Linked DNA regions of Schizosaccharomyces pombe. The protein of the gene in region 1 interacts with the protein of each later gene in a biochemical or structural test. Each region holds a gene or a part of one and is shown on either strand. Other genes may lie near its edges.

What was found.
Region 2: of the proteins of atf1 (region 1) and pka1, one has a biochemical effect on the other in vitro, tested with the Schizosaccharomyces pombe proteins (one study listed by BioGRID).
Region 3: of the proteins of atf1 (region 1) and pmk1, one has a biochemical effect on the other in vitro, tested with the Schizosaccharomyces pombe proteins (one study listed by BioGRID).
Region 4: of the proteins of atf1 (region 1) and sty1, one has a biochemical effect on the other in vitro, tested with the Schizosaccharomyces pombe proteins (5 studies listed by BioGRID).

The regions. Positions count from the first base shown.
Region 1 is NC_003423.3:1,544,323-1,550,418, reverse strand, and holds atf1 (Atf-CREB family transcription factor Atf1), read right to left. Parts: upstream 4,203-6,096; 5' UTR 3,955-4,202; exon of another isoform or gene 3,559-3,954; intron 3,100-3,558; 5' UTR 2,759-3,099; coding exon 1,058-2,758; 3' UTR 557-1,057; downstream 1-556. Other genes in the region: contractile ring-membrane anchor Fic1, read left to right, coding at 5,653-5,700, 5,754-6,096.
Region 2 is NC_003423.3:395,183-399,502, forward strand, and holds pka1 (cAMP-dependent protein kinase catalytic subunit Pka1), read left to right. Parts: upstream 1-1,809; coding exon 1,810-3,348; 3' UTR 3,349-3,775; downstream 3,776-4,320. Other genes in the region: cut4 (anaphase-promoting complex platform subcomplex scaffold subunit Apc1), read left to right, coding at 1-183; plg7 (1-alkyl-2-acetylglycerophosphocholine esterase), read right to left, coding at 4,186-4,320.
Region 3 is NC_003423.3:728,816-733,508, forward strand, and holds pmk1 (MAP kinase Pmk1), read left to right. Parts: upstream 1-2,000; 5' UTR 2,001-2,044; coding exon 2,045-2,110; exon of another isoform or gene 2,111-2,210; coding exon 2,211-2,390; intron 2,391-2,663; coding exon 2,664-2,735; intron 2,736-2,817; coding exon 2,818-3,768; 3' UTR 3,769-4,137; downstream 4,138-4,693. Other genes in the region: serine/threonine protein kinase Vps15, read left to right, coding at 1-1,831. UniProt on the Schizosaccharomyces pombe protein: Regulates cell integrity and functions coordinately with the protein kinase C pathway (pck1 and pck2). Involved the regulation of wall architecture, cell shape, cytokinesis in exponential and stationary phase, and metabolism of ions.
Region 4 is NC_003424.3:205,925-210,141, forward strand, and holds sty1 (MAP kinase Sty1), read right to left. Parts: upstream 2,213-4,217; 5' UTR 1,990-2,212; coding exon 940-1,989; 3' UTR 552-939; downstream 1-551. Other genes in the region: SPOM_SPAC24B11.07C (oxidoreductase), read right to left, coding at 3,422-4,217. UniProt on the Schizosaccharomyces pombe protein: Proline-directed serine/threonine-protein kinase involved in a signal transduction pathway that is activated by changes in the osmolarity of the extracellular environment. Controls osmotic regulation of transcription of target genes.

The DNA.
Region 1 (6,096 bases):
TTTTTCTTTGTTTTTTTTTTCCATCTTTTAACAAATGATAAAAATTATAAGCATTGATTTGTATACTAAAGCTTCGTGAATTAATTATGTCTACACTTTCTTTTAGTGTTTGAATATTCAACATCTATGCAATATATATTTTTGGATGATTGATTGTTGTCTATTTTTTTTTACGTTGCATGATTAGATTTGTGTTTAATCAATCGTTCAACAAGTTTATCTCATGTTTATTAAGCTTTCTAATTTGTTATTTTTTATTAATTGTTGTTAGAATTGAATAGTTCGTTCTAAATTGAAACAAACGTTTGCATTTTTATATACGTTTTGTAATGTGAACATCAGTAATTTCATTTTCACTTTTTGTATACATCCTCAATGTAGCGACAAACACTCACTAAGTAAAGTAAATATTGTGAAGGTGCAAATTTTAACTTGATTTCATCTTATGAATGCATGTTCGTATGATAATAGATATGTAAATGACCGATGACAAACCTATTCATTAACTTGATTTATATACTGTTCACGATATTAATACTCCCACAATACACTAAGACTTGTTGATTTCTTACATTAAAGGAAAACAGTAATCAGTTGTTATTAAAAACACTGCTGATTCTTACTAAATAATATAGTTTTAATTATTAAATCAAATCAATCTCATAAGAATGAGTTATAAGTAGTATTCTATAACTCTGCCACATGTGATGAATGGTAAACATTAAGAAAGCGTGTAGTTTTTGTTGTCCAAACGATATTATAGTGAACTAGACACGACAGACAAATTTTATCACTTCATAAAGTACTAAAAGTATGCATGCGGGACGGCGTTCAGTGCAAAATTAAAACAGTAATGGAAAACGGGAAGAAATATAAAAAGAGAAGCCTAAAGATTTTTTAATGTAAAATAAACATATATAATTTCACATCCATAACATAGCTAAATGCATGGAAAAGGGCGTTACAACCCTCAACGGAGGGAAAGTCAAAGGGAAGTAAAAACGTTATTCTTCATTACAACCATCACAGACTGAGACCTTTTCAGATCAAAAACAGTCTAGTACCCTAAATTGATTCTTTGAGCAAGATCACCGCTTCCGATGACACTTGTTGCAACAGCAGCCGAATTACTCTTGGCCACTGGGCAGTCTTTATGAGCAATCAATAAGGTCTTCAAACTCACAATTTCCTCACGTAATGCACTGACTTGTGCACTTAAAATTTCATTTTCATTACCATAAAATTCAACCTTCGCTTGAAGATTAGAAAGCCATTGTTTTTTACGCTGTCTACATTTAAGAGCAGCTTGTCGATTGCGTTCCAGGAAGCTTTTACGTTTCTCTTCATCAGTTTCGTTTTTGGAATTCCGGCGAGATGAACCTTTGCTATACGAAGTGCCGTTGGCAGATTCACTAGAAGCCTTACCATTAATGGAAGAAGTGGGTGAGGATTGATTATTGGCATTACTAGAAGGCTCTTGCGAAGTGGAATAGTCAGTACCATTTTCGAGTTTGACCGGCATCGAATTTGCCGTTGGCATATCAGAATTAGAAGTTTTTTGCGGTAGATTTGTGGATCCATTCTCGGCATTTTGTCCGGAAAAGTCCGTGGTTTGGCGTAATGTTAATGAAGGGTCGGCAGGATTAACTGTATCGCCGTAAACAGATGGCATGCCGTTAAATTGTTGCGACCCCATAAAGTACATAGGCTGTTGCTGAGTACGAGATGCTTGAGGGTTCATTGTACCTGTAACAGCTTGGGGGTTAGTATTTTGAGTAAAAGATGGCCGGATAGAGTCGGGGAAAGTCTGTTGCTGAGTTTGCTTCAGGAGGTTGTTGGCAGTGGTGGATGCTGCTTGATCGTTTTCAGAGGAGATGGGTTGCTGAAGCTTTTGCTGCTGATCGGGAACCTGGGAGAGTAAGCATAACCCATGAACCGCAGCATTGGCACCGAAATAATCAGACTGGTCACCATTCGTCCCATTTACAACAGGCGGTTTACCATCCCTTGGGGTAAAACGATATTGATCAGGAAATTGAGAATCAAACGTATGAAACCCTAATAAATTGGCAGTACCAGGTGAAGGAGCGGGAAATCCAGCTCCAGTAGGGGTTAAAAGAGATCGGAAGGGTTCATTAACACCAGGAGTAAATCCAGTTCCACTAGAAAATCTAGCTGCTGCAGATGCATCTGAAGGATTGTTTAGGTAGTCAGGACGAAGAGTAGCATCATAAATAGCAGGAGAAAGGGGATTATGCATTGTACCACGAGTAAAAGCAGACCAAGCAGGATAGCCCAACGGCGAGGCAATACCTGGAGCTCCACTTAAGATATCAGGTGATGCTATGGAAGAAACAGGAGGTAAGAGAGTTCGCGCAAACGCAGGAGGCACACCTGAAGGAATGTTACTAAGGCTAGGATTACGATTAAGAGAAGGATTTCCTTGTCCAACCGAAGCGGTAGAGCCAAATGAATGCTCAAAGGGGTTGGGTTCGTAATCCAGCTTCAAGGAGCCTACGAAAGACGGAGTTACACCATCGGATTGGTCAGCTGGATTCGCATTAGCGACAGATCCGGCCCCTCCATTAGGAGCGATAGTTGAAGACTGTTGATTCTGCTGAGAATTGTTGCTTGGTGGTGCAAATGAATCAGATTGATTGTTTTCCGGAACCTGAGTACTGGAAGCAGTAGCATTACCATTTGAAACAGCGGCAACAGATGCTGGTTCTGTGGAAGTATTGACGGGAGACGGGGACATAATTGAAGAATTTATGCTTTAACACTTGACAAAATGTATTAAGAGATGACGTTAAAAATCACACACGCTTAAATAACGAAAATAAATAATTTAGATATATAGATGAACCCGTTTAAAGAGAAGATCGAAAATAGTTTTGTCAAAACTAAATAAAAAAACAACTACAAGAAATTAATGGCTTTCCAAATTTGACAAGACAGAAGTAATAACGGCTGATAAAGCAGAAAAAATAGAAACTATATTGTTTCAATAAAAAAGAAAAGAAAAAAAAAGGAGGAGGAGATTAAGGAGATAAAAATACAACTTTCTCGAAAAAAAAAGGGAAAACCGCGACGGAGGCTCTAGACGAGAATTAGTTAGATGTCTGTACAGGCAAAGCTAGAAGACTAGATATGCAAGATTGTGAAGGAAGATATTCTACAAAGGGTAAAAAAAAACTCGCAAAGGTAATAGTCAAGTTTGTAAAAGAACATGTCCAAATAAAATAACAAAGAAACTAATAAAGAATTACAAAAGATAAAAGGGATGTTCCTACTCTTTGTTCTTTTCCTTTTCTTCGTTCGATCGTTTTTGTTAGGGTGTGTTGATTTGGATTATATGAATGTGGAGGCCTTTTTTGAATGAGTTTCAGAACTTAATGTGAGAGAGTACAGTCAAGCGTAGAGTAATAAAGAGATTCGTACTTCAACAGCAAATACACCTGCTAAAACACCCGTTTTTCTTTTTTGGAAATTTTTTTGCCAAAAACGAGACAAAACGGGTTTTCCGCTCTTCTAGCTTCCTTTCTACTCTTGTTCTCTTCCCGTGTGCGTTTATTCACTTCCGAGAAATCATTCATCAAAAGTTGCCACCACATAGATCCCAGTTCAGTCAAGGCAATAGTAACCTACAATGGTAACAAGTAAAATTTTCTAGCACAACAACACCAAAAAAAAATTTCCAAACCCTCAAAAAACGAAGGAATTCCAAACACATTTTACGTTTCCTGTAAACTAACAACCCCATAACGATCAGTGTTATTGATAAGAAAGCGTCATACTCGTCATGTTTAGTAGGGTCAATGACGATAGGAGCAAATTTTCAAATTTTCATAAAAATTCGGTTTTCAACACAACCCGTCACGTTTTTATCACGCTCTTCCAATTTTACAGCCTTTTACATAATCAAACTTCACAATTGCATGTATAAACACATACCTATTTGACTTAATCAACCAAACGTACTAGTAGCAGGTCGTCGTCATGAACCAGAGAATTCGTAATTCAGATCCAACTAAGCGATGACTACTGTATAAATGATGAAAAGACTCGGTCAACTGTCCAAACTGAAATTTACAAACAGAAAAATGGTTTTCGTCAATTCAATCGTTCAAAAAGTGCTCAAAGTAAACTTTTTAGCAATTTCCTAAGTAGTTTCTTTCTTCTTATGTTGTAAGTAAAGGGTAAGTTGTAAATTCCTAGTGCCACACTTCCACCTGTTTCAAACAGATGACGTCATTGCATCACTTTGCATGATTGAACTTAACCAATCACGTGCGGGGCTCTGAAGAAGGGTAACAAGGAAATGGGTCTGGAATAAACCGAGCAAGACGATACTTAAAGTACTGCTGTGTAGTTTTGTATTTTGTGTTATCGTATCGTTAAGAAACGTATCGATAGTTTGGGGAATGGGAAAGGATGGACGGAAAGTAGGATGTTATTGGTATATCATGGAGTGCGTGCTTTTTAAGCAAATATGATGTTAGCAATATGTAGTAAAAATGGTGAGTTTGTGTATAGTGCCATGAATCTTATTTCACTCTTAACTCAAGCTTATTTTATATTAACCGATGAATGAATAAATAATATATCTTTGATGAAGCTAAATCGTTGCGTGTATTTCTGATATTATGTTGTATGTAGGTAAGTGTTTTAGGTTGGACTTCTGCGTGTTTGTAAGATGTGTACGTACGCTGAGTAATTAGCAATGTATGAATAGATCCAGCAGTTCCAGAAGACCTACGAAAAAATAAAATAAAATAAAATAAAATAAAGTAAAAAATAAAATTAAAATAAAAATAAAGATAGGTTATACGCAGAAATAATATACAAGTTTCAAATATTATGAGTACTTGTCACGAATTCAATTATGGAGAATTCTGTACAGTAGGATCTTTCAAAAAGTCTTTACATAGACTTAGATTGTATATATAACATACCAACCCTTACAACATTTAAATAACAGTTTTAATAGCTAATTCATTTGTTTTACAATGAAATCTTTTGCTTACATTTTCGGGAACTTATTAGTCAATACGGGTTGGCATTTTGTTGGGATTACGGATCCGAAAACTACCCAAAAGATAAGCAAAGAAAATGAAGTTTTTTAAAAACAAAATAAATTTGTATTCGTGAAACATAAAAGAATAAAAAAATTAAGTTAGAAACATTTTATGCAAATCATTCCATTCAATTAGCAATTGTGATGGAATTGGTTATACCAATAGATATTTTACACTCATTTTAAAACAATTAAAATTAAGTGAATATATTTGTGTGGTGTGTACTGAGTCAATCATTAATGCAATTAGTTATATTAATAAAGTTCTTTTTGTTTGCGATAACTTTCGTCTCTCTTTTTTTTTTTTTTTTTTTGTTAATTTTTAATTTTTTTTAACACGGCATCTTTCTTCACGAATTTCCTAACTGGAGCCATCAATATCGTAGCGTACACAAATTTCCGTTAAAGCATTTTAAATTGCAGTAAGCTACGTTAAATGAATGAACGAAAGCTAACCCCCGTTATCGGAGACAAACCAGCCCCCTCCTACAGAAGTTGCGCTGCACTGCTTAAAATCCGCACTCGAATTGTATAAAGTAGCTTTTTTGTTTATAACCCGTTTCTCCATCTACCATATGTCAAAGAATCCTCTTGGAACGTTGGTTGTCCGAATATGGAAAGCTGTAAGTCTTAAAAGATGAAGATTTGTTTTGTAAAACTAACGTGTCTTCTTTAGAAAAATTTACCAAACAAGGCTCTAGTGGGCAAACAAAGCCCTTACTGCGTTTGCAGAGTTGGTGAGGTGGTAAAACGTACGCAAACGGATAAGAGAAGCGGTCAAGAACCATCGTGGAATGCGGTACTGGAGTTTAACATTCCCAGTGAATCTTATCATATTATGAAAATAACCGTTTTTCACGAGGGATTTCGAAAGCATCCACACTTGATTGGTGATACTGTATTGTCTTTTGAGAAAGCGATGAAAGAAGAGTTACAAAGTGAATGGTATGAACTAAAAAATGAGTTCCAATTTGCTGGCGAGCTATCTGTGCAATTCAAGTTTATCCCCACTGATCCTC
Region 2 (4,320 bases), 1.1 Mb from region 1:
AGAGACCGTTTATTAAGTTTGCAAATACTGTTACAATTTTTTGAGTCTTGTTGGACTGGTGTGCTCTTGAATAAGTTTCACTCCCGTCAATATCTTTTCCTTTCTCGTGATTTGGTAGAAGATTTGAGTTTGAGAGTATGGGAGTATGTGTATTCTCATAATCATAATGAAGAATCTGTATAATTATGAACTACGTTTATTAATTATATGATATGCTAATGGGCTGAATGGTTTCCAAAAATCTTTTCCATCATATCAATCCTTCAAAAGGAAAATTGAAGTTTAAAAAAATAGAACCCCTTAAAATTAACGACTTGTATAAATACCTTAATGTCTCAATTAATATACAAGGTGGCATATCCAATGCAACACTTTTTTCACGATCATGATTAATAGCTATCTTCAAATAATGGTTTGTTAAAAGGAAATCGAAGTTAATAATAAATTGTTAATTGGAATACTGATGCTCAAACTATTTCACTGGGCAAAGTAAAAAGAATATTATTGCGACAACTACTAAGCACCCATGGTTCTTCAAGGGGTAATACCGCCTGTCTCAAGGCGCCGTTGAAAATAGATTAGCTTTTTTATCCTTTTTCTATATCTTTTCCCTCCTTTCGTTAATTAATTGATTTAAGCATGACACTTCGAGCTACTAACTAACACTATATCGTTGTATGCTGTTTACATAAGTTCTTGATGTTCGAATCTATGACTTTCGAGTAACGGTTCCAAATATTATAATTTAATGAATTACACCCGATAATTAATACACTGTATTAAACCATCTAAATCCACCTGACGAATTCAATCTTAAAATTTAAATAGAAGTCTTTAAATCCGACATGCACTGAGATGCTGAAGTTTTGTAACGATCTACATTAAATTCCCCTATTATAATTTACGTACGATTATTCGCCTCATTAAAAATTCCTTCGTTTTTGAGGGGTAGTAAGGGCATGACTTCAACCTTGCATCCTATGACACAACACTTCTTTCGTTAGCAAAACACAAATTGAAGCTTGCGAACGCATAGGAAGTGTGAATAGCTCGTTTCTCGAAAGCCGCTAATTCTACAAAAGCTTTCTGTATCAAAAAGACTTGTAGTTTTACTTAATACACCTTTGGTTCTGCGCTAAGAGTGAAAGGCTCAGTATTGTTGTGAAAACCGTGAATCTGTAACGTCGGTTTATGTTAATTTGTATTTTTGAACGCTTGCTATAACTATTGTTATCTATTTTTGTCTGCTATAGATTATCTTTGAAGGACTCAGAGTCGATTTAGCTTATCTTCTTATTTTTTGTCTCAGGTGTATCGAATTATCGTTCGTGTTCATTTGTACTTTTGGAATAACAGTTTGTTAGACATTAAGTTGCTTCCAATTTTACTTTGAAGGATTTCGTTTGCCCGGATTGATTGAGCAAACGAGTATTATTTGTCTTTATTCTTGTTGGGTTTTTACTTGTGTTGAGCGACTGGAATTTCACTTAAAATAGTTTCTTTTCTGCCGCTGTCCTCTTTATTTTAATAAATTATTTAGAGGAAGTAAATTTCGCTCTTTCTATCTACGCTGATTCTTTATTTATTTTTGCTTCGCTATAATAAGCAGCGCACCAAAAAAGAACTCTAAGATTACTGCTATTGTTGCGGTTTATATACATATATTCGAAGGTTGTTCAAAGGTAACGACCTTTTTGCCTCGACCTCTTTTAACCTTATTCTTGTTTTCGGGTACTTTATAAGTTTGACGAACGATTAGTGAATTTTAATTATCTTTTCGTGTATAAACGCTATTTCACATTTGTACTCATGGATACGACTGCCGTTGCTTCCAAAGGAAGTACTAACGTGGGTTCTTCAACTGACACTCTATCTACAAGTGCCTCTTTGCATCCATCTATGAATGCCGGCAGCGTTAATGAATATTCGGAACAGCAGCGACATGGAACAAATTCTTTTAATGGCAAACCCTCTGTTCATGATTCTGTTGGTAGTGATGCAAGTGTAAGCAATGGTCATAATAACCATAATGAATCAAGTCTGTGGACTTCGGGCATCCCTAAAGCTTTGGAAGAGGCCACGAAAAGCAAAAAACCCGACAGCTTGGTTAGCACCAGTACGTCTGGCTGTGCAAGTGCCCATTCTGTTGGTTACCAAAACATCGATAATTTGATCCCTTCACCTCTTCCTGAAAGCGCGAGTAGAAGTAGTAGCCAAAGCAGCCATCAAAGACATTCGCGGGACGGTCGTGGTGAACTAGGTTCAGAACACGGAGAGAGACGGTCAGCTATGGATGGGCTACGCGATCGCCATATTCGTAAAGTTCGGGTTAGTCAGCTGCTCGATTTACAGCGTCGAAGGATTCGTCCTGCTGACCACACCACAAAAGATCGATATGGAATACAAGATTTCAATTTCTTACAAACATTGGGCACTGGCTCGTTTGGTCGAGTTCATCTCGTTCAGTCGAATCACAATCGCCTGTATTACGCCATCAAGGTTTTAGAAAAGAAAAAAATCGTTGATATGAAGCAAATAGAGCACACTTGCGATGAGAGATACATTTTATCCCGTGTCCAACACCCGTTCATTACCATTCTATGGGGTACTTTCCAAGATGCCAAAAATCTGTTTATGGTCATGGATTTTGCTGAAGGAGGAGAGCTTTTTTCTTTGCTTCGTAAATGTCATCGATTTCCCGAAAAAGTTGCCAAATTTTATGCAGCAGAAGTGATCCTTGCTCTTGATTATCTTCACCACAATCAAATCGTATATCGAGATTTAAAACCCGAAAATCTTCTTCTTGACCGGTTTGGTCATTTGAAAATTGTGGACTTTGGTTTTGCCAAACGCGTCTCTACTAGCAACTGTTGTACTCTTTGTGGTACCCCCGATTATTTAGCCCCGGAAATCATATCTTTAAAACCGTACAACAAAGCTGCAGATTGGTGGTCCCTTGGTATTCTTATCTTTGAAATGCTTGCGGGTTATCCTCCATTTTACTCTGAGAATCCAATGAAGTTGTATGAGAATATCCTTGAAGGCAAGGTCAACTATCCATCGTACTTTTCTCCTGCTAGTATTGATTTGTTGAGCCATTTACTTCAGCGAGACATAACCTGCCGCTATGGAAATTTGAAAGATGGTAGCATGGATATTATTATGCACCCTTGGTTCCGTGATATCAGCTGGGACAAGATCCTTACTCGGAAAATTGAGGTTCCGTATGTTCCTCCCATTCAAGCTGGAATGGGTGATTCCAGTCAATTTGACGCTTATGCTGATGTAGCTACGGATTATGGAACATCTGAAGATCCTGAATTTACTTCTATCTTTAAGGACTTTTGATGTTTTGTGCCACGTTTGTTTTGTTTTAAGATACTCGAATGCTTATTGATTCATTGTACTATTGCCTTAAAGCGTTGAGCAACGAATGCCTATTTGATTTAGTGCAATGCAAGTGACGTTTGTAGCACTGATTTTGCAATTCACCAATATTGGCTTCAGTTTTTTGTGCTGGTGTAATGGACCGACTTTATGTTTGGATGGGATATGATGATCTCAGTTGAAGCTATTTATTTTGATGTTTTTCCAGGCAATTAGCCTGCTCTGATGTATTTCCACTCCATTTTATTTATATATTCTGTTTTTTTATGGTTATGTTAAACCCCAAGTCATTTCTTCTTCATGTTGAACAGACAAAAGAGCATTGTTTGTTGAAACTGTGCAACAACTAGATACATATATCCGCTAATAATCATTGAATTTCCTTGTATCTATAATTAATGGTGGTTTCATTCGTAATTGGTTGGTAAATTATTTTGTTGAATAAATAATAATGTAAAATGATAAAAGAATCTATCAGTATATAAGACATATTACAAATTATAAATATTAGTCTAAATTTTTCAAAATCACACACTTAGCGTAAATGTTCGTCCTTAATCATCGCGGTCCTAAGCACAGGCTCCCAAAAAGTAATAGTTACCATATTCAATCCACATTAACAGGTAAGCTTTCGAAAATCTTCTTTATAAGCTATAAGAAATTTGTGCCAAACAGTTAACTCATTAGCATGACAGTCAATAAATATTATAATTAGCATCGGCGATAGATAAAAAGACAAGAAAAGTCAAAAGAGTTTTGTTTTTAAGAGTTTTTAGCTCTTTGTAAAAGTGGTAAATACTACATAATTCTTTCCCACCCAGGAATAATATTTGTTTGCAACGACGAAGGATCATTATCTCCCTGAACATTTTCAACATGATTTTCACGAAGGAATTGTACAGATGAACGAGTATTAATGCGTAAAGCTTCATA
Region 3 (4,693 bases), 820 kb from region 1:
CTCTTCTAGGGTTTCAACGAATGATACAACTAATGTTGCCGGTATTCGAAGCCAAAGATCATTTACTACTCATATCGATTTGAAAAAGCTTACCACGAGGCAAAATGGCGCAAAAAAATCATCGTATACTGGAACTAATCCATGCGTCTTAAATTATTTAAATAAAATTTATGCAGAAGCAGCGGCTTCGACACTTAACGTTGGTGCTGCTGTTTCACCAAGCTGGGCTTCTAATATACCTTTGCGTCGTAGAACAAAGGTGTCTGCGAAGGCTGCGAATAAAATAGTTCAGACTCATGAATGGCATCCAGAAGGATCACGAGTTGCTCAGATATATTTAGGAAGCCTTCTTGATGGAGGTACGAAGAAAGTTTTGGTTAGTCCAGATTCATCTTTTTTCGTTACCTTGGGATCTGACGGTGTTGTAAGAGCATGGCAATTAGTTGAAAGTGTTCGTCATATTTCAACTATGAGATGTGAATGCCGATTAAGTTATGGGCATACGCGACGTAATGGCGAGAGGAATAGATTTTCTGTGGTCAATGGATGCTTTCTAGGTAATACATACGCTTTTGCTTCTGTTACTCAAGATGGCTCTGTGGAAGTTCACAGACTTGACGTTAACAATCAGCGGCATACTCTAATTTCGGCTGGTCGTATTCCCAATTTGGATTTCAGTGATTCTGTAACCTCCATGGAAGCTTCTACATTTCACGACGGGAGTATCCGTCTAGTCGTTGTTACAAAATGGTCACGCATCGTATACTTAGACGTGGGAATGATGAGGGTTTTGTCATCAGACCAATTACCATTACAGTGTGGGTCAGCTACTAGTGTAGTAGTTTCTGAGGGTTGTAATTGGGCTTTAATTGGGACTACCAAAGGATGGCTCTTACTTTGGGACCTCCGCTTTGGGACATTATCATGCTCTTGGCATATGCCAGCCAGGATTGATCAGATGCATCTTCTTTTAGATGTTACCAAAAAACGTAGCAACGTTAATGAGTATACTTCCGGAAATAACAATAGTCCCGTTACCAAGGTTCCAGGTAGCTCAAGTACAAGTTCAAGTAGTACTCAGCCAATTAACTCTACTATTCCCATCAATCCTTTAGAAAATCACGGAATGTTAAACTCGTTTGGAAGCACTACAGTCAGTATCAGTTTTAGCGTCCTTACCAACTTGGATAATAAAGAAGTTAATCTTGAAGATGCAGTTCCAGCGAGTCACAGATCCGCTTCAGGCATAGTAAATTTTGACGTTGAAAAAGGGAAAACCGAAGAGGTTTTCTTAGAAAACTGGAATTCTTCACTCACCAGTCCGATTCCGGTATCTGTTGGAATTGATGCTTTTAATGAAAAAAAAAAGTTTGATATAGATTCTGGCAATGACATGGGATTAAGAGATTTGAATACCAAATTCGACTCTCCTTGGCCTTGTATATCTAGTCCAATCTATAGGTACAGAGGTCCGTCTGCAGGTTCTGTCGAACGAGAGCCACTTTTTCTCATTGCCGCTTCTGGAAGCCCTCATGCGTTTATTTGGAATCCCCACAATGTCTCTGCTAGTTCGTCGGTGACCAACGACTCCGAGAGTTCAAAACTATCTTTAATACATAACAAACCTCCTATCTACCAAAAAGTCTCTGAACAACAGAATGTACGCCCAAAGTCTTCGGGAGTGTCAAGGCCTCTTCTATTCCTTCAACAGCAAAAGAATCTACCTAGCGAAAATCGTCTGCACCCCATCGTTGACATGGCCTTCTTGTACCAACCGTACGCTATAGTGCTTATTGTTGACGCTTTTGGTAGTCTTGAACTCTGGACCTAGTTTCTTTTAGTATTCCTCATATATTTATTAGATTTGTATGCATATTCTTTAATACCATAAATTCCATCTGATAGTCTTCAAATCTAACCGACTTGCATTCAAATAGTGAAATATAAGGCATCGTTAATCACTACAAGTGATGTACTGTAGTTTTTTCCACATCCCTTTTGCCAAACAGCTAAAAATTCAAGTTGCATGCTATAAGTCGCAAGGATGGACCGTCGACATCGTGTTTACCGTGTGTTTAACCAGGAGATGTATGTCGAGCCTAATTTTAAGGTATGAGATATTTGGGTAACTGCTGCATTTGCAAAACATTTTGTTTACTTGACAGAAAATCGCATCTGCTTGAACTTTTAGGAAAACTAACATAGTTTAGGTAGTGAAGGAGTTGGGTCAAGGCGCTTACGGCATTGTTTGTGCAGCAAGAAACGTGGCTAGCAAAGATCAAGAGGCTGTAGCCATAAAAAAAATTACGAATGTGTTTTCTAAATCCATTCTTACAAAAAGAGCTTTGAGAGAGATAAAACTGCTGATTCATTTTCGTAATCATCGTAACGTAAGTCTTTTATGCAAAAACGGCTTCCTGTGATTGATTACTCATCATCACCGGGATGTATTAACGAGGTGCATTTTGATGAAAATGCAAATTTTTATACAATGAAAAGTCTTCTATGAGAAATGAGTTCTAATCATCCTTGAAAAGTATTTCCTTTATAAATCTTGATATAATGTTTGGAATTCGGTTGATTAAAAAATTTGAACTGCTCATTGTCTTACATTTGCATAGTGATGTCTTTCCTATTTTTTATAAACTTTACTAACATGGTAGATTACTTGCATTTACGATCTCGACATTATAAATCCATACAATTTTAATGAAGTTTACATTTACGAAGAGTTGGTATGTTACGCGATGATCCACATATGGTGTCTGTTTTAGTCACGGAAATATTTGTATAATTACTTACTAACTATTATAATAGATGGAGGCCGATTTGAATGCTATTATTAAATCCGGTCAGCCATTAACGGATGCGCATTTTCAATCATTCATTTACCAGATACTTTGTGGTTTAAAGTATATTCATTCTGCCAACGTTATTCATCGTGACTTAAAGCCAGGTAATCTTTTAGTTAACGCTGATTGTGAGCTGAAAATTTGCGATTTTGGCCTCGCTCGCGGATGTTCTGAAAATCCAGAAGAAAATCCTGGTTTTATGACGGAGTATGTGGCAACGCGCTGGTACAGAGCTCCGGAAATTATGCTTTCGTTCAGCAGCTATCATAAAGGTATTGATGTTTGGAGTGTTGGTTGCATTTTGGCAGAGCTATTAGGTGGAACCCCTTTGTTTAAGGGAAAAGATTTTGTTCATCAGTTAAATTTAATTTTGCATCAACTTGGCACACCTGATGAGGAAACCCTGTCTCATATAAGCAGTTCCCGTGCACAGGAGTATGTTCGAAGCTTGCCAAAGCAAAGACCTATTCCTTTTGAAACCAATTTTCCTAAAGCCAATCCTTTGGCTCTTGACCTGCTTGCTAAGCTCTTGGCTTTCGACCCCAACAGACGTATTTCGGTTGACGATGCTTTAGAACATCCCTATTTAGCTGTTTGGCATGATCCCTCTGACGAACCTGTGTGTGATTCCGTCTTTGATTTCAGCTTTGAATACATTGAGGATGCAAATGAGTTACGCCGTGTCATTTTAGATGAAGTTTTAAACTTCCGTCAGAAAGTCCGACGCCGCTCTCATCCAACAAACCCAACAGTCAACATCCCGCAACCAGCCCAAACCGTTCCATCTAATGACAATGGTTCTTTCAATGTTAGTAGCTCTTCATCCTCTCAAACCTCTAACAAAAAGCGCCATGATCATTCTTATAATGAAACTGCTGCTATAGACCATAAGTCTGATGATAATCGCCATAACTAATACATTGGCAGCAGCTGGTTTTATTGAGCCTTTTTACGGTAACATTTGCATACAAATCATTCATTGCGTTTTCTCATTTTTACATAAATTAGCTATTGCTATCTTTTGAGCTTTGCTGGCTACTGTCGAATCTCTGTTTGCTCGTTTAATTTCCATAAAAAATACTCATTTGCATTAGTCCTTCATTTACTGTTTTGCATATAATATTTGGCGATCTTTGTGCTCCCTTTTCTTGCACGCTTTATAGTCTCACAGCTTGAAACATTTTGTTATACATACATGCATGCATATACACCCGTACTACAACTAGAAAAATATATAAATAGAACAGCTAATTACTTAAAAATATTACTTTTACTAGTGAACGAGTATATCTGTGGTAGAGTAATTTCCTTTATTAGGGAACATCCCAATGAAATCACAAAACTAACTAACCAAGACAAAATAGATGAATAAATACATCAGTCATGAATTTGTATCCTGCAACAATTAAACAACATTCGTGCACAAGGATAGCTCTCTTCAAGTAGAAGCGTCTTATAATGAAATGCAAAGCGGTCGAATATGAAATTATGTGCATATTTTTATAAATCAGAAAAAATATGTAAGATGATATTCGAGACGCGAATGAAGTTTTACAATAGAAAGGGAAAGCCTTTACAAATACCTGCAAAAAAGGTCGTACAGATTCCGTTGTTTTTTGGGAAAGCAAATCATGATGCGCAAATCCTATATAAAAGGAACAGTTTTTTTTAGGAGAAAATTTTGGCAATTGCCGCTATGGCATCCATTACTAGCAATGAAATAAAGCAGAAGGCGGGCGACCTTGATTCCAGTAAAGGCTAACGGGAAAAATAAAAGGGAAAAACGACGTCACAAATAAGTGAACAAAAAGTCATTAATGGTTGGGTTTCTAAAGTACCGG
Region 4 (4,217 bases), on another chromosome or scaffold:
TTTGAAATTGAACGTGCATTTTTAATCAACATCTTCTTCATTTTTTAATCCCCTTTTTCATAGAACGGGAGATTTGTTGTCACTGTCAATCTCCTTTTTGTATTTATGTTGCTTCAAGCACGTCTGTTTTGAGCCCAATTTCTCTTTTAACGTTTTAGCCTCTCCTTTCTCCATCACCTCTAACTAGTTTTAATTGGAAAAATTATTTGTTCTTCCTTTTAATTATTTTTACGATACTGTTTATTCATAGCTCTTTTTTTGATTATGAAGATACACTTCGCATTTGCTAAGTTTTTATGTTTTATGAAGTAATTCCTAGATGACTATGATTTTTTTTAACGTTTTTAAGATTTTTATTTAACTTCATGTACACAAGATGTCCAAAATCTTGTTGTATAAATAATAAAAGTTAAAAATTAATAAATACACTACTTATTATAAAACCCGTAACTACATTAACGAACTTAAAAACTAAATCATACAGATTAGCATTATAAACCTAGATGGGTAACTATTATAATGGCTTTTTTTTTTTTTTTTTTTTTTTTTTTTCTTTCAAAAAGAGAAGTTCGGTGATTTATTCAACTTCTGAATTTGTAGTCAAAACAAGAAGAGGAAGGTATATATGTTCATTACTTGGAAAGAGGAAGTTGGAAATAATTTTCATGGGCCATCGCATTACCATATCCGAAAAAAAAGGATAAAAATTTGAATTTCAAAATATTTTAGAAAAGGAGTGGCGAGAAAAAACACCACACTTGAAAATCGCAATTGTAATTTATAATTAAACGGAGGATTAAAAACCCGATGACCATTAGAATAATAGAAAAGCCTAAAATTCCATGGAACCGAGATGATATAAATATGATACACGTGAACAAAATAGAGTAATCATAACATACCCCGAGAACAACTTTTAAGGCTTTATCTACAACTTGTTTAGGATTGCAGTTCATTATCCATGTTGTGAAACGACAAAACCTCGGAGTACATCATGACCTTCCAAGTCTCCACAGGTAAATCATTATCTTGGAATGACCAGTCAAAAACTTCATCAGCAACAGGCTCATCAGTAGGATCATGGTATGGAGCAAGATAGTTATGAGCCAAAGCATCAGCAGCACTAATACGCTTACGAGGATCAAAGACAAGCATTTTTTCTAACAGATCAATAGCATCTGGATCGGCGTTTTTGAACTTTTCAGCAAAAGGAACTTTCTCCTTTTGAGGCAATGATTGAACAAAGCGAAGTGTGTTTTTACTGCAAATCGTCTCAATTACTTCCATAGGCGGCGTTCCCAACAATTCCGTGATTATAGAAAACTGGTTAACGTGGTCTCGGCCGGGAAACAAGGGTTTTCCTTCAATCATCTCAGCAAAAATACAACCCGCACTCCAAATATCAACTTCGACGTTGTACTTTTGCCAAGTTAACATAATCTCAGGTGCACGGTAATAACGAGTAGAAACATAGCCCGTCATTTGAGGGTCTTGAATACGAGCCAAACCGAAATCGCAGATTTTTAAATCGCAATTTTCGTTAATTAAGATGTTACTGGGTTTCAGATCACGGTGAATAACACCGGCAGAATGAACAAACTTGAGCCCTCGCAAGATTTGGTATAAGAAGTATTGTATAAATTGCGTCTCTAAAGGTCGCGATGTAAGTAGTCTATGAAGATCTGTTCCCAGAAGCTCCGTGACAAAATAAATATCTTCAAAGGGAGAAATAAAAATATCGCTCAAGCTAATAATATTCTCATGCCTTAAATGCTTTAATAGTTTTAATTCCCGATAGGTACGTTTTGCCAGTACCGGAGTACTAAAGGGTTTCATAATTTTCTTAACAGCGACATTCATTCCAGTTAGCTGATCCTTCGCTGAACAAACGAGGCCAAAGGCGCCCATGCCAATCGGCTGTAAGTCGCTATATCTAGTGGTAATTTCAAAACATGTACCGAATATTTGTGTACGAATAAATTCTGCCATTTTATTCAAACTGGTTACAAAAAGGACTATTCAACAATAATCTCAAAAATTTAAGCGTCCTTCGTCTATATCGAAAAGTAACTTTCTCTTCTTTTTACAAGTTCCCAACAACGCTGCGAAGTGCCAAGCTTTATAATAATTACGATAACAATCGTCGGTATCGGACCTCGTATTCCGTTAAACAGATTGTGGTGTTTGCTTGTAATAAGCAATGAAGTGCTCTGGTTAAGTTGTGGTAAGGAGGTATGTAGCTGTGATTAAGTGCACACCGCACTACAGTGAACTTGCGCTTCAGCATCCAGAACCTCAAAGAATGAAGTTCCGCCGGTTTAACGATGTTTTTAAAATGTATTAAACAATTTAAAGTACTACTACTTTTGATAACAACTGACGACGATAAACACCAAAGTGACCACTCCTTCTACTCTTACCAAGGCTTTGTTGTCCAGATCTGAGATGGGTTAGTTGGTAAAGTTGTTAAGCCAGCTTTATTAGATCAACTTTTTTAGCTATTTGAGCTAGTATTCATTATTGAAATGTGTGTTTCAAGGAAAAAGTCTTGTAAGCTAACCCAATTTGTCTTTTGACAACAGTTACTGTTGAAAAACCCGTTCAATTATAGATCTGACATTTCATTTGATCCATAATGCTCGATTTCGTAGTTAATTTGCTTGTTTGCCTCTATTAGCCCAGCGTCCGCGTTTTGATTTCTTAGCGAGTTGTTAATATTATGGTTTCACGATTAGGCATTAATCGGGTCTGTACCTTCCACATTTTGGGACGAAATAACCAAGGATAATTAGGTGCAACAAGTCATTTTCCATTTCAATTTTCCTTTTACTTTATTAAAAAATTTTTAATTAAAAAAGTTTGGACAAATACCATTTAAAGTCTACGAGGAAATAGGACACAATACTACGTTAAATGTATGTTTCAATAAAAAATCAATTCAATAAAAGGACAAAAATTAAAAGAAGGGAAAATCGAAAAAAAAAAGAATGTGATGCCGAAATTACCATACGGCTCAGTGAGCAGATAGACTAAAGATACGTATTATATGGAATTCTTCGCCAAAGATACATGCAAAATGTAATAAAAGTTATATATATACATATATGATAGACTTATACCAAATTGCTTCCATGGCGGAGATAACCAAACGGGGTAAAAACAGAGTACTTTTAAAATATAGACCAGATTAAAAAGAATGAAATTATGCCTTCATAAATTTGATGCAAATGAACCCAATACGATGAGTGCTAACGCGTTATTCTTAGCGCAAATTGTTCGGAAGAAAATAAAAAAACATAACGTGATCCCCAAAAGAATGCTTAATAATGAGTCAGTAGAATTCAAATCAATAAAAGTTTAACACGACAATGCTTTTATAATGATAAAGGAATGAGGAAAACTGTGGCTCCGAAAGAGAGGTCTACGATTTCATGCGAGAAGTTCCACGAGCTAGCGGAAAGCGACGCATCGCATTAGGTATAACCGTCATTGACGATGTCTCAGAAGCCACAGAAGCTCGAGGTTCTACTCCCTTATTGTTGTTCATGAGAGTAAAATACGTTTCGGATTCACCACTGTCATCAGTTTCACCGTTTCGCGATTCCGCAGAATTAGAGTTGGAATTTGGTCTTGACAATACTTCATTTCCAAGTGATTGAGAAGACGAATTAGGATCACTTGGCGTACCAAATCTTGATGACTCAGGTGATATATTCTTGTGCGTATGCTCTTTAGCTTCAGGGGATAACACGTTTTTTCCACCACGAACAGGAGGTGAACCTCGAGGAGCAAAACGCGGATCAAAAGTTCGACCCAAGCCCTCATAATCACTCTTTAAAGACTGTTGCATTTGCATCAAAGAAGGAGAATACAAAGAACGTCTAGAGCGACGAGTTGTAAGAGACAACATATCCATATTGTCAGCAGTCATTGCTCGTCCTTTTGAAAGGGACGGAGCAGAAGGAATTCTGCCCATATTTGGCTTACCATTTTCGGGAACAGAATATGGGTGTAAAGGTGAATGTCGATCAGAAACGAAGGATGATGGATTAATAGGCCGCATATTAACCAAAACTTTGTTTTTCTTAGGTGAATTGTCCGTGGGCCCATGCATATCATTCATGTGATGTGGTTGAACGAGAGGAAGGTGTTGAATACTCGAAATTAATGCACTTATTGTTCGTAAACGAGGAACTTGGAGGGATTGTTTAGTAGCT